Caenorhabditis elegans: one gene and its partner. The protein of the gene in region 1 interacts with the protein of each later gene in a pairwise test. Each region holds a gene or a part of one and is shown on either strand. Other genes may lie near its edges.

What was found. Proteins that work in one complex are often made in the same cells at the same time.
Region 2: the proteins of C50F4.1 (region 1) and C16A11.5 interact in a two-hybrid assay, tested with the Caenorhabditis elegans proteins (one large-scale study listed by BioGRID).

What each region holds. Positions count from the first base shown.
Region 1 is NC_003283.11:9,522,625-9,531,349, reverse strand, and holds C50F4.1 (CHK kinase-like domain-containing protein), read right to left. Parts: upstream 4,558-8,725; 5' UTR 4,506-4,557; coding exon 4,404-4,505; intron 3,541-4,403; coding exon 2,920-3,540; intron 2,831-2,919; coding exon 2,741-2,830; intron 2,672-2,740; coding exon 2,562-2,671; intron 2,381-2,561; coding exon 2,215-2,380; 3' UTR 2,100-2,214; downstream 1-2,099. Other genes in the region: C50F4.10 (non-specific serine/threonine protein kinase), read left to right, coding at 1-74, 131-265, 488-706, 825-1,154, 1,211-1,300; C50F4.9 (Cocaine- and amphetamine-regulated transcript protein), read left to right, coding at 7,151-7,232, 7,685-7,834, 7,889-8,040.
Region 2 is NC_003280.10:4,219,325-4,226,832, forward strand, and holds C16A11.5 (FRIGIDA-like protein), read left to right. Parts: upstream 1-3,980; 5' UTR 3,981-3,989; coding exon of another isoform or gene 3,990-4,094; intron 4,095-4,155; coding exon of another isoform or gene 4,156-4,264; intron 4,265-4,327; coding exon of another isoform or gene 4,328-4,395; 5' UTR 4,396-4,409; intron 4,410-4,479; coding exon of another isoform or gene 4,480-4,584; intron 4,585-4,642; coding exon of another isoform or gene 4,643-4,807; intron 4,808-4,854; coding exon of another isoform or gene 4,855-5,114; intron 5,115-5,300; 5' UTR 5,301-5,328; coding exon 5,329-5,574; intron 5,575-5,632; coding exon 5,633-5,956; intron 5,957-6,002; coding exon 6,003-6,355; intron 6,356-6,405; coding exon 6,406-6,510; intron 6,511-6,565; coding exon 6,566-6,640; intron 6,641-6,691; coding exon 6,692-6,929; 3' UTR 6,930-7,008; downstream 7,009-7,508. Other genes in the region: F31D5.1 (UNC93-like protein MFSD11), read left to right, coding at 55-333, 662-731, 1,067-1,239, 1,288-1,408, 1,451-1,540, 1,662-1,935, 1,982-2,117, 2,170-2,311 and 1 more.

The DNA.
Region 1 (8,725 bases):
GTAATGGATCCAGCAACATGTCTAATTACAAACAGTTTGCTTTGAAATGTGAAAGTGCACAGAGCCCTTTGCAGGTGAAACATCAAAATTGAAAATTTTACTTGTGTTAATTGTGGATCATATATTTCAGATGTTGAAGGTTGAGGCATTTGTCTTGCAGACAATTGCTAAGCGAGGATCTCGTCATTTCTGTGACATCGAGGATATTGGGAAGTTTCAAGGAATACATTATATTGTCATGCACATGATTGGCAGAGCACTAGTTGTTAGTTTTTTAACAGGTTTTGCAGAAAACAATGCAGAAAACAAGAAAACAAAAGCAGAAACCAATCAATATAGTTTCAAAATCATCATAAATTCTATTGTAATCCTGATATCAACTTGTTCGTTTTTCTTGACATAGTTTTATAGTTGGGAGACACTTGCTCTTTTTATGACTCAATAATTACTGAAAAAACTATTTTGCAAAAGTCCCAATAATTTTCAGGACTACATGAAAACCTCCATGTCTGGAGCAATCTCAGTCAATTGTGCCCTGAGCGTCGGAATTCAACTCATCGAAGCACTCGAAGATCTTCACAATTGTGGCTTCATTCATCGAGACCTGAAACCTTCAAATATCTGTTTTGGACGGAAAGATCGTAACGAACTTGGAAAGTTGTATCTTTTGAGTTTTGGAATTTCACGACGTTACTTGGACTCCAAAGTAAAGATTACTTTTCTCAAGTGTATTCACAGAAGAAATATTAACACCATTTTTCGGCTTTTTGAGACAAGTGAAAAGCAAAAATCATTTGAACTCTGAAGAATCATAACTTTTTCAGAATCAAATGAGAAAACCTCGTGACAATGTTGAATTCCGTGGAACCGTTCGATATGCTTCATTGAATTGTCATCAACTGCAAGAACTGAATAGAAAAGATGATTTAGAATCAGCTTTCTACGTTATCGTTGAAATGATCACTGGACAACTTCCATGGAAAGGTCTTCCAGATGGTGCTGCAGTTGCACGAGTCAAGCAACAAAGTCGTCACCCATCAGCAATCGCTCTTTTCTTGAGAGCACCTTGTCCGATGGAAGAACTTCGTGAAGTGATGATTCTCATTGATTCCTACAATTATTTCACAGCTCCCGATTATGTTAATATCTGCAACGTATGGTTTTATTTACAATTGTTAAGCATTGTTTCTGTAAAATCCTAATATTTTAGATTCTCCGTCGGGCAATGCGCAGAAGTCCTCAACCGGAACATCCTTATGATTGGGAACAGGGAGGAACTAATTCACTTGGAGACGTGTAACTACATCCTCTCGATATTCTCGAATAAAGATTGTGACAATTACTATACATTCAAATACTCTGAAAAGATTTTATTTTCAAAGAAATGTGCGAATTTATGGTGTGATATTTTTCTATCATTAATTTCTTGATCAACTGCCAAAAGATGTTTGGATACAAACATCTCTTCAAAATCTGCTATAGATGTACCAAGTGCTGAAACTCTTCATCTGAAACTTTCGGATGCTGCATTTTTTGTTCTATTTTCAACATATTTTCAATATAATTATTTACAATATTATTTACAATAAGCATTTTATTGTAAACCGTACGCTGAGTAGCCCCAAGTTTCTAAAACATATATCAGATCTTGAATAACGAGATGTCTGACAACTGATGATTCATGAACTACCCACATAACATTATCTCCTCCCGCCTGACCTAACTGTCCTGTTAACAAACTTTCGTTCCTATTTATTCTTCTTGTTTCTATCCCTCTTATTCAGTGTATTGTATTTATGATCTATTATGTGTACATTTTTCTTTTTTCTTCAACTTTTTCCACGTCTCTTCGCGAGCGTAAATAAATAAATTAAGTAATTAATATCTATTTACAATATAATTTATAAATAGTATATTGCTATTTATATATTGTAATATGAACATCTTCTTACATAATTTAATTTGAAAGAAATGTTCTGATTTTCTCGAAGACACCCAATCCCTTTTTTAAGCAAGCTTCAAGTGTTTTCTCACACGTCATACATTTATTATTTTGTCGTCCGTATATCTACGTTGTCAAGAGATGCATCTTTCCGTTCTTGTATTGAAGATTTATTCATTCGTCACCAAGAAAAAACGACCAATCTTTATTTTTGAATTCGGTCATTTATTCTCGATTCTTTGAAAAAAAAAGCAAATACGTTATCTTATTCTTCAATCATCATTCTCTTTTTGTGAGAGAAATGGGTGCTCATTATCCGAAATGTAGTTTCCAGTCAAGAAATCTACAGTATCATTCAACGCTGTCTCCCATCGACGTGCAGCATCTTGTTTGACGTCATCCGAACCTTCACTCAGTGTAAAAAGTAGAGACTCGATTCTGGAAATGATTAGAAATTTTATTTAATGGGACTAGTGTTCTGAAAATTTGGGGCAACCTAAAATGCCTTGAAAAATTATTTTCTTGAAAATCCGGTAAAACACTATTTTATAAAAAATATCAAAAGTACGACAACTTTTTGGTCTTTTAAAACATTTGAAAATTTGAAACCTAAACTCACCCATTGATTAGAACTGTAGGTTGATATTCCTGGAACCATCTTTTCAAATCATGCAGTTGATACTTTGGTGGGTAATAGTCAACAAGTGCATAAAAATAGACTTGAAATATCTAAAATTAAAACAAATTACATCAAAAACATCTGGTGCTCTGCCGTTCCCATAAGACTCTCGAACCCACTTTCATGAACTTTTTTCGTCGAATGTCGACATCTGCAGATGAAACAATCAAATTTGCTAAATCCTCCACTGGATTTCCAAGATGAATGTTCTAAATTAATTAGGTTTTCGTTGTTGAAAGATCAAAAGTAAAAATTATAGTAGAACGCAGTTTTTTCTATTTTAAAAATAATTACGTACTTCCCATTCTGTGATCTCTACCAAATTCCCATCCTCATCAAATCTGCAAATCTCAGCTGTCAATCTTCCATGTGCGATAACATTATGTTTTTCCTTTTCATCTGCATCTTCATCTTTCCAATCTTCCAAGTAATGAGTCAAAATTCCAACTTTTTCAATAACTGAGGATGGATTCATGAAGTAGTCTGCAACTTCTGTAGTAGTTACTGCTGTTTCCAACACTTCAATCAATTCTTTTTGAATTTTCTTTTTGAATGATATGATGTTTCCATAATTTTCTTGCACATTGAGTGAGAATTGTTTATTGATAGTTTTTGAGTTGACAGCGTGTAACTTTGCAATCTGTGAGGCAACTTGTTCCAATTCTGGTAATCCCAATTTGGTACGAACACTTCCTTTCTTCAAAAATTGAGTAACATAGACAGAATGTTTGTTTTCATCTTCCGTCACAACAAACGATCGATTAAAATGTGCACTTGGAATAGGAATCTTCTCAAACGTTGATATCTCATGCCAGAAAAGTGAATTGTAGTAGGCGGCAAGCTTGCTTCCTTCCTCTAGTTTCACTATAACATCTTGATCATCTCTCACCAAATGCACTCGGAAGAGGCCCTCCGCTGTCTAAAACCAGAAAACGATGATATTCTAGAAGGGCGGGAGAAAGAAATTGGCCTCATTCAAAGGTCATTCAGTATCACATTTTGGCACATTTCTTTCGAATTTGGAACAATTTCGTAGAAAGTTTAAATCTAATCCTAATACTATACTTCCAATATTTTAATTATTTTTTTTTGTTTCAACCGTATTGAGTTCAATTTTGAAAAACTTGTTTATTTAACAATATTTCCGTTTTCTTATCAGTAAAACAGGCAGTTAAAAATTTCCACAAAAAACGTCATTAGAAAATGAAACGACTTGAACGAAATTTCCTTATAACCGGAATAATCTTTGTGCTCATTTAACTCCCAATATAATACACTCCATCCAAAAACACAAACATGAAGTATTAATTTTAAAGAGGTAATATGGAATTAAAAAACATGAAAGCTTTGTACGAAGACAAAACATTGGAAAGTAATTCGTACTAGCACCTTTAAAAGTGAAGTTCAAAGATAATTTCACAAGCAACATTTTCGAAAATTTTTGAAATTAAACATTAAAAATTGTCTAAAAATATCTTAATCTAGCGTTGACGGTTTTTTCTAATCGTTGAAAATAATAGTCAGATTAAGAGAGTCGACAATGTAACGTATACGATTTTGGCATCATATTTGCAATATTTAAAAAATTTGCAAAATCCTTTTAAAATTTGAGCCATTAAAAAAACTAACAGTAATAGGAGTTACAATAATTTTATAGTACTTGATATCTGTAGTACATTTAAATTTTGAGTTAAAAGTTTTTGAGATTTTTGCAATGCCCTCAAATAGTTCCTATTGGTTTAATATATGAGTTTTCAACTATGAACTAATTTATAAAGTTACCTCTAACTCCACGGTTGTGACACCATTGATAGTGACAGTAGGATTAAGTTCTTTAACTCGAGACAATCCAAGTTCCTTTGCAATTAATGCAGTGATGAACATAATAACTTCTCTGTGAATCAACCAACAATGCCAACACTGATATGTCCTTCTTCTGAAAATGCAAAGAAAAAAGGGAGGAGAGGGAGCAGGTGGACGAGGTCTTGTTATCAGTGATAAAAAATGCGGGAGAAAAAAGCGAAGAGAATCGAAACTAATGACACTGTCCCGTTTATGACTTTGATGATGGGCGACGACAATACTTGCATATTTTGTGTTTCGTAGAGCAAATAACATTTGCAAACACATTTTATAGCAATGAAAAAGAAGAGGGAGTGAGTCACGAGCTGAAATTTTGAACGAAGATCATAGGTGGTAGGTACTTTGCTAATGTGGTAACCATTTGAAACTGATATTTATCCGAAAATTATGAAGTGGGCGGCACAATTCTGGACGTAGGATATCGGATATCAAACTAGTGGGTGGCTGAAATGAAGACGAATTTAAAATTTAAAGTTCACGTTCGAAGACATATAGGACATCTGCCAAGTTGGCACTACATGTATCACATTAAGTTTTCAGAAAAATTGCGATATTTTCTCTCTAGGCTTGCTTCATGTAATCGAGTTTGAAATCTTCTTTCATATTTGTTTCTGGTTTCAATCTTACTGGCTAATATTATTATCAAATCAGTAATAATTTGGCGAATTTTGAGCTAGGTTTATATTCAATTTATACTGGAATAATTATTTTGAATCGTAATGTTGTTTGTGTAACGGTTTGTAAGCTTATAATTTGGAAAATCCTTGAAATTTTTCGTTGGGTAAATCCGCGCTAATTTTTTACCCCGCGCAAAAAAGTTCAAAAGTTCAGAATTGAGGCCTTTCCATTTTACATGTGATTTCCTAAACTCTAAAAATAATTCCAAAATTAATTTTAAGGAAATTTGAAAACAATAACCTCAGGACACATTTAAATTATTGTTTTCATCCGTATAGAATTGAAAAAAATCATTTTCATAAATACCTATTTTCGAATTAACGTTTTGTTTTCGTGCGTACTTTAATGTTCTTTCAATAGCCCATTTCATCCTTGCTCCGGTTGAGTTGACGAACGCCTTCAAAATGAGCCATAATTGAGAGCATTACTTTTTGATGCATTTTATTTTCCATTAAATGTTGTTTCTCTTTTTGTTGCGTTGTGCAGAACAATAAAAATACAAAACAATAATTTAACTTTCGATCCAATTAAAATTATTTTTTTTAGAAAACCAAAAATATTGATTCGATATAACGCTGTCTTAAAAAAAAATCTTATGAACAAAAACTTCATCTGAATTTCTTTTTCGTATTGTTTTGTTAAGAAACTGAAAAAAAGTTGTTTTTTTCCAAATCGAGGCAACTCTTGTTTTATCAATATCAGTTCATAATCTCTTCCCTTTTGTAAGTGGTAAATAAGAGTTTCTGTTTGTTTTATAGTATTAAATCACTCATAAATTGATACTAAGTAATCTTCCTTTAAAACTATTTTTGATGCCGCATTGAATATTTTTTATTCTGAATATTTCAGAAAAAAAGTTGCCATCTAAAAATATATCTAGTATTTTTAGGAACTTTAAGAAGTGCGACTTTGAAATGTGAATGATTTCAGACTTATCATGAAAAAGTGCTTAACTCGGTAGAATTTCCAGCCTGTTAATCAAAAAGTCACGCATCATTTGACCCATCCGATTGTTTGATTTTAGCCACTCCCTTTCTAGCATTTTAAAAATGCTTCATGACACTCAACTGACTCAATACGTCAACCCATTTCCTTCTCCTCCCACTCAACAAGTCAAAACAATTTTTGTGCATCACGAACAACCACCTCCTTGTTTGGTAACATCATGACGTTTGAAATGCTTTCACCTTTACAAATTTGCATGACACTCTCTTTGAATACTTTGGGTGTTTAAACCTAAACAGCTTATATTCTTTGAGAAGGCATCAATTGGTCATTCTTCAAATTCCTTGCTCCTCTAAGCATTGTTTCCTGTTGCAAAAACCGTGAGCAGCAGAATACAGTTAATGTTTTATTTGATAAAATTATTGCAGTCTAATTATTTCTTTATCAAAATTACTATTTGAAAAATTACTACAAAATTACTATCCTGTTTTTAGAATAATTATCATTTGGTAGTTACAAAACAATCAATAATTCTTTTTTCAATTATATTGGTTGTAATTGAACTGATGTATTATCCGAACAAATAAATAAATCTTAGGTTATAACTAAAAATATACTAAACCAACATTTTTTTGAAGTACAGATACTACATAAGTTCTATATAAACTAAAATAAAGACTACGTATAATTGTACTTTAATCGAAAATGTGTTCATCTTCAGTATACGTTCAACTATAGTTTTAGTTTTTATACGTTCCTCTATGTTCCGCCCATTACTCTCGAAGTCTTAAAAGTTTTTTAATCTTTGTCTCCGTACATATATCCTTATATCTCAGCGTGGGTGGAGATATTTGGATATTCTTCTCAAGAATCACCAACAAAGATTAATTTCCTTTTTGTTCTTTTTAAGAAATGTCAGCTCCCCTCAGTTCCTTATTGACATTGAATTATGACCTTACATTTTTGCACCTTCAGCCATAATTTTTATTCTTTCAGCCTTTGTATATAATTTCGCTATTGGTTTAAAATCATTTACTTTACAGATGAAACTTCTCGTGTTGTGCATTCTTATCACAATATCTTCATCGCTTTTTATCGAAGATTCAAGAATTAATGAGATCGAGTGTAAGTACTTCAAAGAATCATGAAACTTAAACGAATGCATTCCCATTGGGTTGTTTTTATTTTTCGGTTTTTTTTGTTGAAAATTGAACGTCACTGAATACCATATTCCAACCCTGAAAGATTTGAAATTGAAAAACAAACTAAATTGGTGAACTTTTTAAAAACATATCCGAAAACAGTTTTGGCGCTTTGGTAGTGCCTACGACTGACAAATAGACTAACCATGACGTCTTTTTTCACCCGATTCTGGAAGATCCGAAGCCTGTTTTTTCTCAAATTTTTTTTCTTGAACAACTGGGCATCGAAACCGGAAAATTTGGAGAGCGGAAGAAAACTAAAACTCCAAAAATAACACTCGGAAAACCGAAGATTTGGTTTTGACAGCCCTACCTAAAACAAATGAAGTGATTCTTGAATGTCTTTCTTACAGAAAATGGGAAAATTCATTTCAGGTTCAATCGTTGCTATTCTGACCGATCAAATTGAAGAAAGTACGGCCTGTAATCTGAAGCATCTGCTCAGAAATGATCCACTTTTCAAGCCACTCATTCAAACTAATGTGCACAAAAAGAGAAGCGCCTATGAAATCATTGGAGTACACAGTAAGTATTCAATTTTAATACTTCAAGCAAAAAGCTAAAATTGGAAGTTTTCAGCATGCGAGGAGAATGAGCCATGCAGAATCGGGAGAACTCGTTCATGCTTGTGCCAAGAAGATTTTGTATGTGACAAAACACCTGCCAACAAAAACGTACATCTTTGTACTAAACTCGGATATTTCCGGCTTTTTGAAGCTAATAAGAAATAAGAAAATATTTCACTCTTGTACTGTATGAACTGATAATCATTTGCATTTTGTCACATTGGATCTCTTTTTTAGTTTGTATGTATCACATCATAAAGGAAGGAATAATTACTTCGATTCTGCCATAATAAAGAATTTCTTTGGTCAACTAATTAGTATTCAGGGTATTTATTGTAAGTTATGAAACAACAAAACTTTTTCAATTTTAGCACTGGGATTCCTGTACTTGTCGATGTTGATTCAAAGTTTCATTTCGTTGGTCTTTAGCAGTGCCTCTACTATTCACAGGTGCCATAATATGCGTCACTCCAACTTGAGAAGTACTTTTGTTATAACGATAAACGGCTCGGAATGCATTTCAAATTGTTTCTCGATAACTTTTTATAATGAAAAAAATTGGAAGCGGATCAACAGCTGGGTAACAGGTTATAGTAATAATGATGAAGTTTGAAGCAAAATCCATATTGAGCATAAAAATCGGAGACAGAAAAAATAAAGTAATTGGTATGTGCATTAGAATAAATGGAATGAATGTCTGTACAACTAATGCATAGAATAACTGTTTTTCAACATTTTTTGCCGCTTTTGAAGCTATCGCAAGAGTATCGCGGAGTTTCTTATAGCAGAGAAAACCAAAACCAAAGACGCATACCAAAGAGCTTCCCTGAACACAGTAATTATTAATTGA
Region 2 (7,508 bases), on another chromosome or scaffold:
CGTTTAACTTTTCCATTTTATAAAACATTTCAATATCAGGTGCTTGAAATCAAAATGAAGATCTCCACTGAGACCACAAATGTGCTCCGGCTCTCCATCTCCATTGTGATCCTGTTCTCAGCTGTCCTAGCCCATGAATTTATTATGGAACCGCTGATCGCCGCGTTGGCAACAGCTGGACGTGGTGGAATTGAACATCGCGATGGGTATCTGGCACTTTGTTTGATCTACTTTTTCAACACAATTAGCTGCTTTTTTGCTCCATATGTGGTGTCCAAGCTCTCGGGGAAATGGGCGATGGTTGCTGGTATGATGACGATTATTATTGTCCATGTAAGCAGGTTTTTGCAGGCGTAGGCGCATTCTTAAGATGGTTTTCGGTCAGGTAGTACCATCAGGAAGTTCGCCAAATTTTTGATCAGTTTTCTCCAACGAATATGAAAATTACCCAATTGCCTTGTAGAATTGACGCAAATCAACTCGCATTCATTTTTAGTACCCCAGATGAATTTGAGTTTATGATGTCAATTATTGCGTGTCACTTTCTGCAAATTTTAGTAGAGCTTCAGAGAATAATGTTTTAAAAGTTATGAAAATGAAAAAAACAGGGTATTAAAAATTAAAAATTATTCCAGCCAGTAGTATTTTTAAAAATTTTCAGAGCTCGTATTTTCTTCCAAATCGATATTTCATATTAATAGCTTCAAGTATTGGTGGATTCGGAGCAACATGTAAGTCTTACATTTTCTTTTTTTCACTATTTTTGCCTAACCTACGAATATCCACTTTTGGAGCTATTTGAGAAGTAGACTTTCGAGCTCAAATTCTTGTTCCTTGAATTTGGCAATAGAGCGCATTTGCAACATCTCTATTTTCACGTGGTGTCAGAGTGTCTACTTTCGGCTTGATCTACGTAAATCTACGAAAAATGCGGGAAAAGAGACGCAGAGTTCTCAGCTGATTTCTCATGGTTAAGAACGCGCTGACGTCACATTATTTTGAGCAAAAAAACCCCCACATTTTTTGTAGATCAAAACGTAAGTCAGGCACCACATGTACTTTTCAGTTATCTGGGTCGGCCAGGGACAATACATCATTGAAAATGTGTCTGATGAGAATCGAGAGAAGAACACCTCCATCCAGTGGGCCCTCTACAAAATGAGCCTGATAATCGGTGGAATTTTCTTCTTTTTCTATTTTCAAAATGAGCCAATTGAAGCAATTGCTAAAAATGGGCAGGTGAGCTTAAGCAGATTTTTTTTTGAAAATTTTCTGAAATTATTTCAGATGGAAAAATTCTTCATGGTTTTCCTGGCCTGTATTGTGATCTCCATCATAAATACGTGCTTCTTGCCACAGAGTGAAATGTCTCGGAATCGAGTTTCTCAGCCATTTTTTCAAACAACTAGTGAGCCAAGTTAAACATTTGAAAATAATTTTAAATGTTCAGAAAACTGCTTCAAACTCTTGAAAACCCAAAGAATGATCTCCCTGGCAGTGTTCTTCTTCTACACAGGATTGGTCAGGTCTTTCTGGATTTGTAAGTTTGAAAATTTTTGCTGTATCAAAGTCCTACGTGCCTACGTGCCTATTTCACTATAAAAATGGGGAATCATCTAACCCCAATACACCATATTTTACGCGCAAATTTAAATTTCCAGCGATCTACCCATTCTGCATTAAATTCACATCGAACCTTGCCTCCAATACCACCAGAATCCTAACAATCGGAATGATTGTCACCGGCTGCGGTCAGGTTATCGGATCGATTTTTGTGGCAATAATTGGAAATAAAATTCGAAAATTTGGGCAACATGTTCTAATTCTTGGCGCCCTTATTTTGCATGTTATCCTATTTCTGATGATCTCTTTATCATTCCCAAATGATGCTCCACTTCATCATACTGATGGAAATGGCCCAGTGTTTCCGTTGAGGTTTTGTTTCTCATTGGAGCTCACTTGCAACCTGTTAAGCTTTCAGTGTCTACTTGGCTATGGCAATTTCTGCACTTTTGGGTTTCGGTGACGCAATTTTGCAGACCCAGATTTACTCGTATATCGCCAAATATTATCAGAGAGACAGTAGTAGTGTGTTTTCGATTTTCAGATTTTCAAGTGTAAGTTTTTTTCCAAATTTTCATGTTTGCTCTAATGAGATCCCAATCCTAGGGAATCGCTTCTACGGGAATATTCTTCGCTGCTCAGTACTTCTACCTGGTGCATCATATGATTTTGCTGACTATTTCAGCTCTTCTCGGGGGATTGGCTATTCTACAGTTTCATAGATCAGTTAAGAATATGTATCAGCAAAGTATTACTTGAAATGTTTAAAAAACAGAAGAAATAAATTTTTCAGAAGCCCCTGTCGTGGTTCTTTCGATTTCAAACGATGTTGGCCGCAAATCACAACAATCGGTCTCGCCTCTTCCATTGGTTGGAGTTTAATTTTTTGTTTTCAAGTTTTAATTTAAAAATTAGAATTTTGTTAATTTTAAATAAATGAATGAACAAAAAGAAAAATACGGTAATTCTCGTGCGTCTCTTATAGGCAGTGGGCTTTCTGATTTGAAAATGATTTGAAGCCCGTAAACTGCAAAGTTTATTCGACTGACTGAAAAGAGTCAGCAGAGAAATGGTAGTGTCACATTCAAATTATACTACTGTGATGAAGCATCTGACCCTATTCCTCTGGAAATTCCGGACGTTTTTAATTCAACAGCATGTCCTGTTGGGGAACAAATTGTAGATTGCTGGTATCTGAATGAGATTCTGAAAATCCCCGAGGAACCGTCGAGAAATCCGTTCGGAGATACTATTGTCTGGTATGGAAAGAGCTTTCAATTCAGAAACTCGTGGAATAATCGACAAATAAACTTCCAACTTTTTTATTCTCTATGTTATCTGAGAAAGTTTTTCGAAGCAAAAAATGGAAAGATGAAAACTGGATTTTTACGGCATTTCAAGGATCTTATCAATTGAAAAACAAGAATCAAATTTTTTGTATTATTTCTATTGATAACACTGCAATTTTTACTGGAATAAATTTTTGTAGAAGCCCCTGTCGTGGTTTTTTTTCGATTTCAAGCAACGTTGGTCGCCAATCTCAATCGGTTGAAATTAAATTTTTTTCACATTTCAATTTAATAATTAAATTTTTTAGTATTTCTCGAGTAAATGAGTGAACTGACAAAACTATGCTTGCAACCCTGAGAGTTGTTGCGGGACCCAGTAATTAACCACGATTATGCGCCTTTAAATAAGCTACGGTACTTTTTTTTTTTTTTTTGAAAATAAAGTCTAAATGATCAATTTTTAACGGATCTGGCAATTTGAAACAAATTATTTGCCGAAAATTGACGAAATATTAACTTTAAAACTGATAATTTCGAGCTTAAAAGCATTTAAACCCAAAATTAAGATTTTCGCGGCAGAACCCAAATCAACAAGTGAGCGGTGAACCTTTAAATGAGGTACGGTGATTCCATGTTTTGAATTTCAAAAATCGAAATTTGAATTTATGTTCCCAAAAATCTTGTTTTTTCGTTTTATTTCTGGATATTATTTTTTGAAATCACTATTAAAAAAATTGGCGAAATATTTTCTAACATTTTGAGCCAAAATATTTATTTTTTCGCCCGATTTATCAACATTTCGTCGAAAAATGAAGCTTTTCTCATTTTGCGCCAGCATACGAAAAAGCCTGTAATACATTTAATCGGCAACTTAAGACTAGTTAATTTGCGTTAAAAATTGGATAAATCGTTTATTTCAGCGCTTACATCGGAAAAAAACGTATTAATTTATTTAATTTCGGCTCATTGAGAAAAATCAGTTTTTAATTTTTCTTTCGTTTTTCAACTCTTAAATTGCTCGATTTTTGCCTCAAATGCGAAAAAATAGTTATTAAAATTCAAATTTTTCTCTTCGTGGCGGGACCCAAATCGCCAAGTGAACTGTCAAACATCTCAATTTAAATTGATTTTCAGAAGATGTGCTCCCTAAATGAGCTGATAACGGGTATTAAAGAACTCCCGGAGCCAGATCTCACTGCCAGTCGACTGATGGATGCAGCAGCTGATTATGTGCCTTTGAAGGTAGTTATAATTTCGAAAAAAAAAAATCTAATTTTCCAAAATAAAAACCACATTTTTCCAGCTTCGAGGACATATTGACGCCAAAGATATCAACAGTAGTCCTAAAACATTGGAAAATGGCGGAACTGAATTCTTCCAGGCACTCATCGATATCACACATCCTAGACTCAGTGGGTAGCTAGGGAATTTTCAAATTTATATTATTATTAAATATCAAATAAAATAAATTACAGGATTATATGGATCTGGAAAAGAACTCGCCGAGAATGTGAGAATCCACAGAAACTTTCCGACAAGTCATGTAAACTTCAAATTGTATCCTACAGAGCCATTTTTTATAACAGATTTGACTTTTTGATTCATGATTTATTTGAGTTATTTTCAGAGATCCCCGATAATTTATAAAAGTCTTGACAATAATCAGTATATCTACAAGACGGACGTTTTCATCATTATTCAGAACATTTGTGGTTACCGAAAAGATTCCACGGTAACATTTTATATTAGGATGAAATCAAATCAAAATAGTTAATTTCTTCGTTTTTCAGAATAATATTATAGAACTCAACAGATTTCTCGAAGTGATGTATCTGAAAGCACGAGAGGAGACGAGTCGAAAATATTTGGAATTTGTGCGTTTTGATGCGGATTCGTTTCGAAAAATCGAGAAAAAATTCGAGAAATTCAATCAAGGAGCATGTTTCGTTGATAGGGTATGTTTTAGACTCAAAAATTGACAAGTTTTGAGATTTTCCCATAGCAATTTTTCAGGAAATGGAGAACTTATCCAGTCGCTGGAACAAAGGAACTCAAATGGAGACCATCTTCCAATCGTTCAAGAGCTTGATTCCAGTGAAATGAAGTGATTATCAGTACATGATTCTTCGCAATTTTGTGGTTTATCTTTACGGATCAACTGACCCTGAATTTCGAATTTTACCTCTGGAGCTCTACAAATTCGAAAAATGGCTGGAGATTTTTCAAAAAGTTTTTGAGGAGTATCCAGAATTGTTCTCTCCGGTGAGAACTGATAATAATGTTTGAAATCGACGTGAAAATGCGCTCCGCCCGCGAACCATGGGTCTCGTTAGGTTTTTGGCGGCAAAACCGTAAATTGAAAATATTTAAATTTATGTCTCTGTCGCCAAATACCTAATGAGACGTTATCAACCAAAAATTAGTTAAATTTAATGATGAAAATGCTAGAAAAGATGCGATTGCGCTGGAGGAGGTTATGGAGAAATATGGAGATCAAGTGAAATCCATTGAGTTCATTCAACATCCGATCCAAAGAGCCAAGCACAAAGCTGTACCGATTGAAGACTTGAAGCCTGGAAGCTACTGTATTCTAGCCGTGGATGCGCTTTTCGAGCTTTTCAATGAGATTATTTGGGGTTCGAGAGTTTTCGAAAAGCATAAAGTTCCCAAAATTATTGAATATGTTTTGAAGATTCCGACTCTGCTCTTCAAGTCTGAGCTTGTATGTTCATATTATTGCTACACAGAATTTAATGGCAATCATTTTTTTTTATTTACAGAGATTCCCACATTTCATAAAAACTGCCCATCTTCATAGATTACTGGCGTCGTTCGAAGTTTCACTTTCGAGCTTTCACTTTCCTGCAAATCCAGTGAAAGAAGTCAGAAACGCAAAGGCTGATCATGGATTTACTCTTCAAAATTTGAAAAACGAGCTGACATACTTGGGACTCACGGAAACGTTCCCAGACATCACCGATTATGCGGAAATCGCGTACAATGAAGTGATGAGGGTCAAGAAGGAGATGCTCTTGAGAACTTGTGATCTCTTCGATGCCATCGAGCACTGCCAACTGCTGTGTATCTTCAATAGATCACCATTTGTAATTTTTCGAAGCCATTTTCCGACTATAACATTCAAATTTTCAGCTGAAGCAGTTTCTCCATAATCAAAAGGCATGTCACCGTCTTGTCGGTCTACATTGTGATCTGTGTATCAAGGAAAAAGTGGAGAAAAGTGAGAACCAAGAAGCTTGGGATTTGGATGAAAGCAGCTCGACTAAGTCTCCAATCGACTGCAAAAAATGCTCTCAAACTCTCCAAACAATTGAAGACGTCAAAAAAGAGTTAAAAACTAGTCAGAACAAGGAAAACAAGATGAGAAAGAAAGTGTCAGAGCTGGAGAAGAAGCTGGATGTCGAGAATGTGCAGAATGAGCAGGAAGTCAAAGAGATGGAGGATGATCTGCGTGGAAAACAGGAAGAACTGAACATATTGAGAAAGTAATTACTTTTATTGGTTTTTTTAAATTTTGATCATTTAAATTTTTCAGCGATTCCCTCAAAGTCCATGATGTTTTGATGGAGATTGCCGACTTGAAGCAGAAGCATTCGAAATTGGAGAAACACGTGGAGGGACTGAAAGAAGAGAATTTGAAGTTGGTTTTACCCAGAAAAAACCCCTTAATTTTATCTAAAATTCTATAATTTCAGACAAGAAAGAAACTATAATCTCACACAATCCAATCTGGAAGCTAACCTGTCGAGTATGAGAGAAGGTCTTACTATGTGCGGTTTCTCACCCGTAAATTCAAATTTAACGTTTTTTTTTCTTTCCAGATTGCAGCAGTATACTGAAGAGCTTGAGCAGGAACGTCAGAAGTATCAAGAAATGCTGACGGCGAGATCCGAAGAAACTTCAGTTCAAGCTGAACCAGCTGGTGGCGAGGAGGAAATGCTCGATGTGACGAAACAAATCGAAGAGGCTAAAGAAGAGAAAATTCGTTTGAAAGCTGAACATGATGCCAATGAAAGAATAATTCAGCAACTTCTCGATAAATTGGCCAATTTTTCGTAATTCTTTGAAATTATTTTGATTTGTTTTCTGTTTTTGTTGTTGTTGAATGATTATCGTTGATAAATATTTTTGTTTTATTTATTTCTTACTGGCTTTTTTTATATGCAAAGATACAGCTCTAAACTTGAAAATTTTCACCAATGAGTCGTGCGCCTTTAAACGTGATACGGTATTCCACTTTTCGAAATTCGATTTTATGTTCCCAAAAATCGTATTGTCGTTTTATTGCTGGATTTTTTAAAATCACTACCAAGAAAATCGCCGAAAAATTTTCTAGCAATATGTTTATTTTTTTGTCCAATTCATAGAAATTCCGCCGAAAAAGCTAGTTTTTTTTTCAATTTCGTTCATTTCTGCGCTTACATGAGAAGAAAAACTTTTAAAATTATTTATTTTCGGCCATTTGGAATTGAAAAATCCGTTTTCACTAATCCATTCGTTTATCAACTTCTCAATTGCTCAAATTTTGCCTTAATTACAAAAACTAAGTGTTTAAATTTAAATGTTTTCTTTTCGCGGCGGGACCCAAATCACCAAGTGGGCCGTGCGCCTTTGAAGATACGGTAACCATGTTTCGAA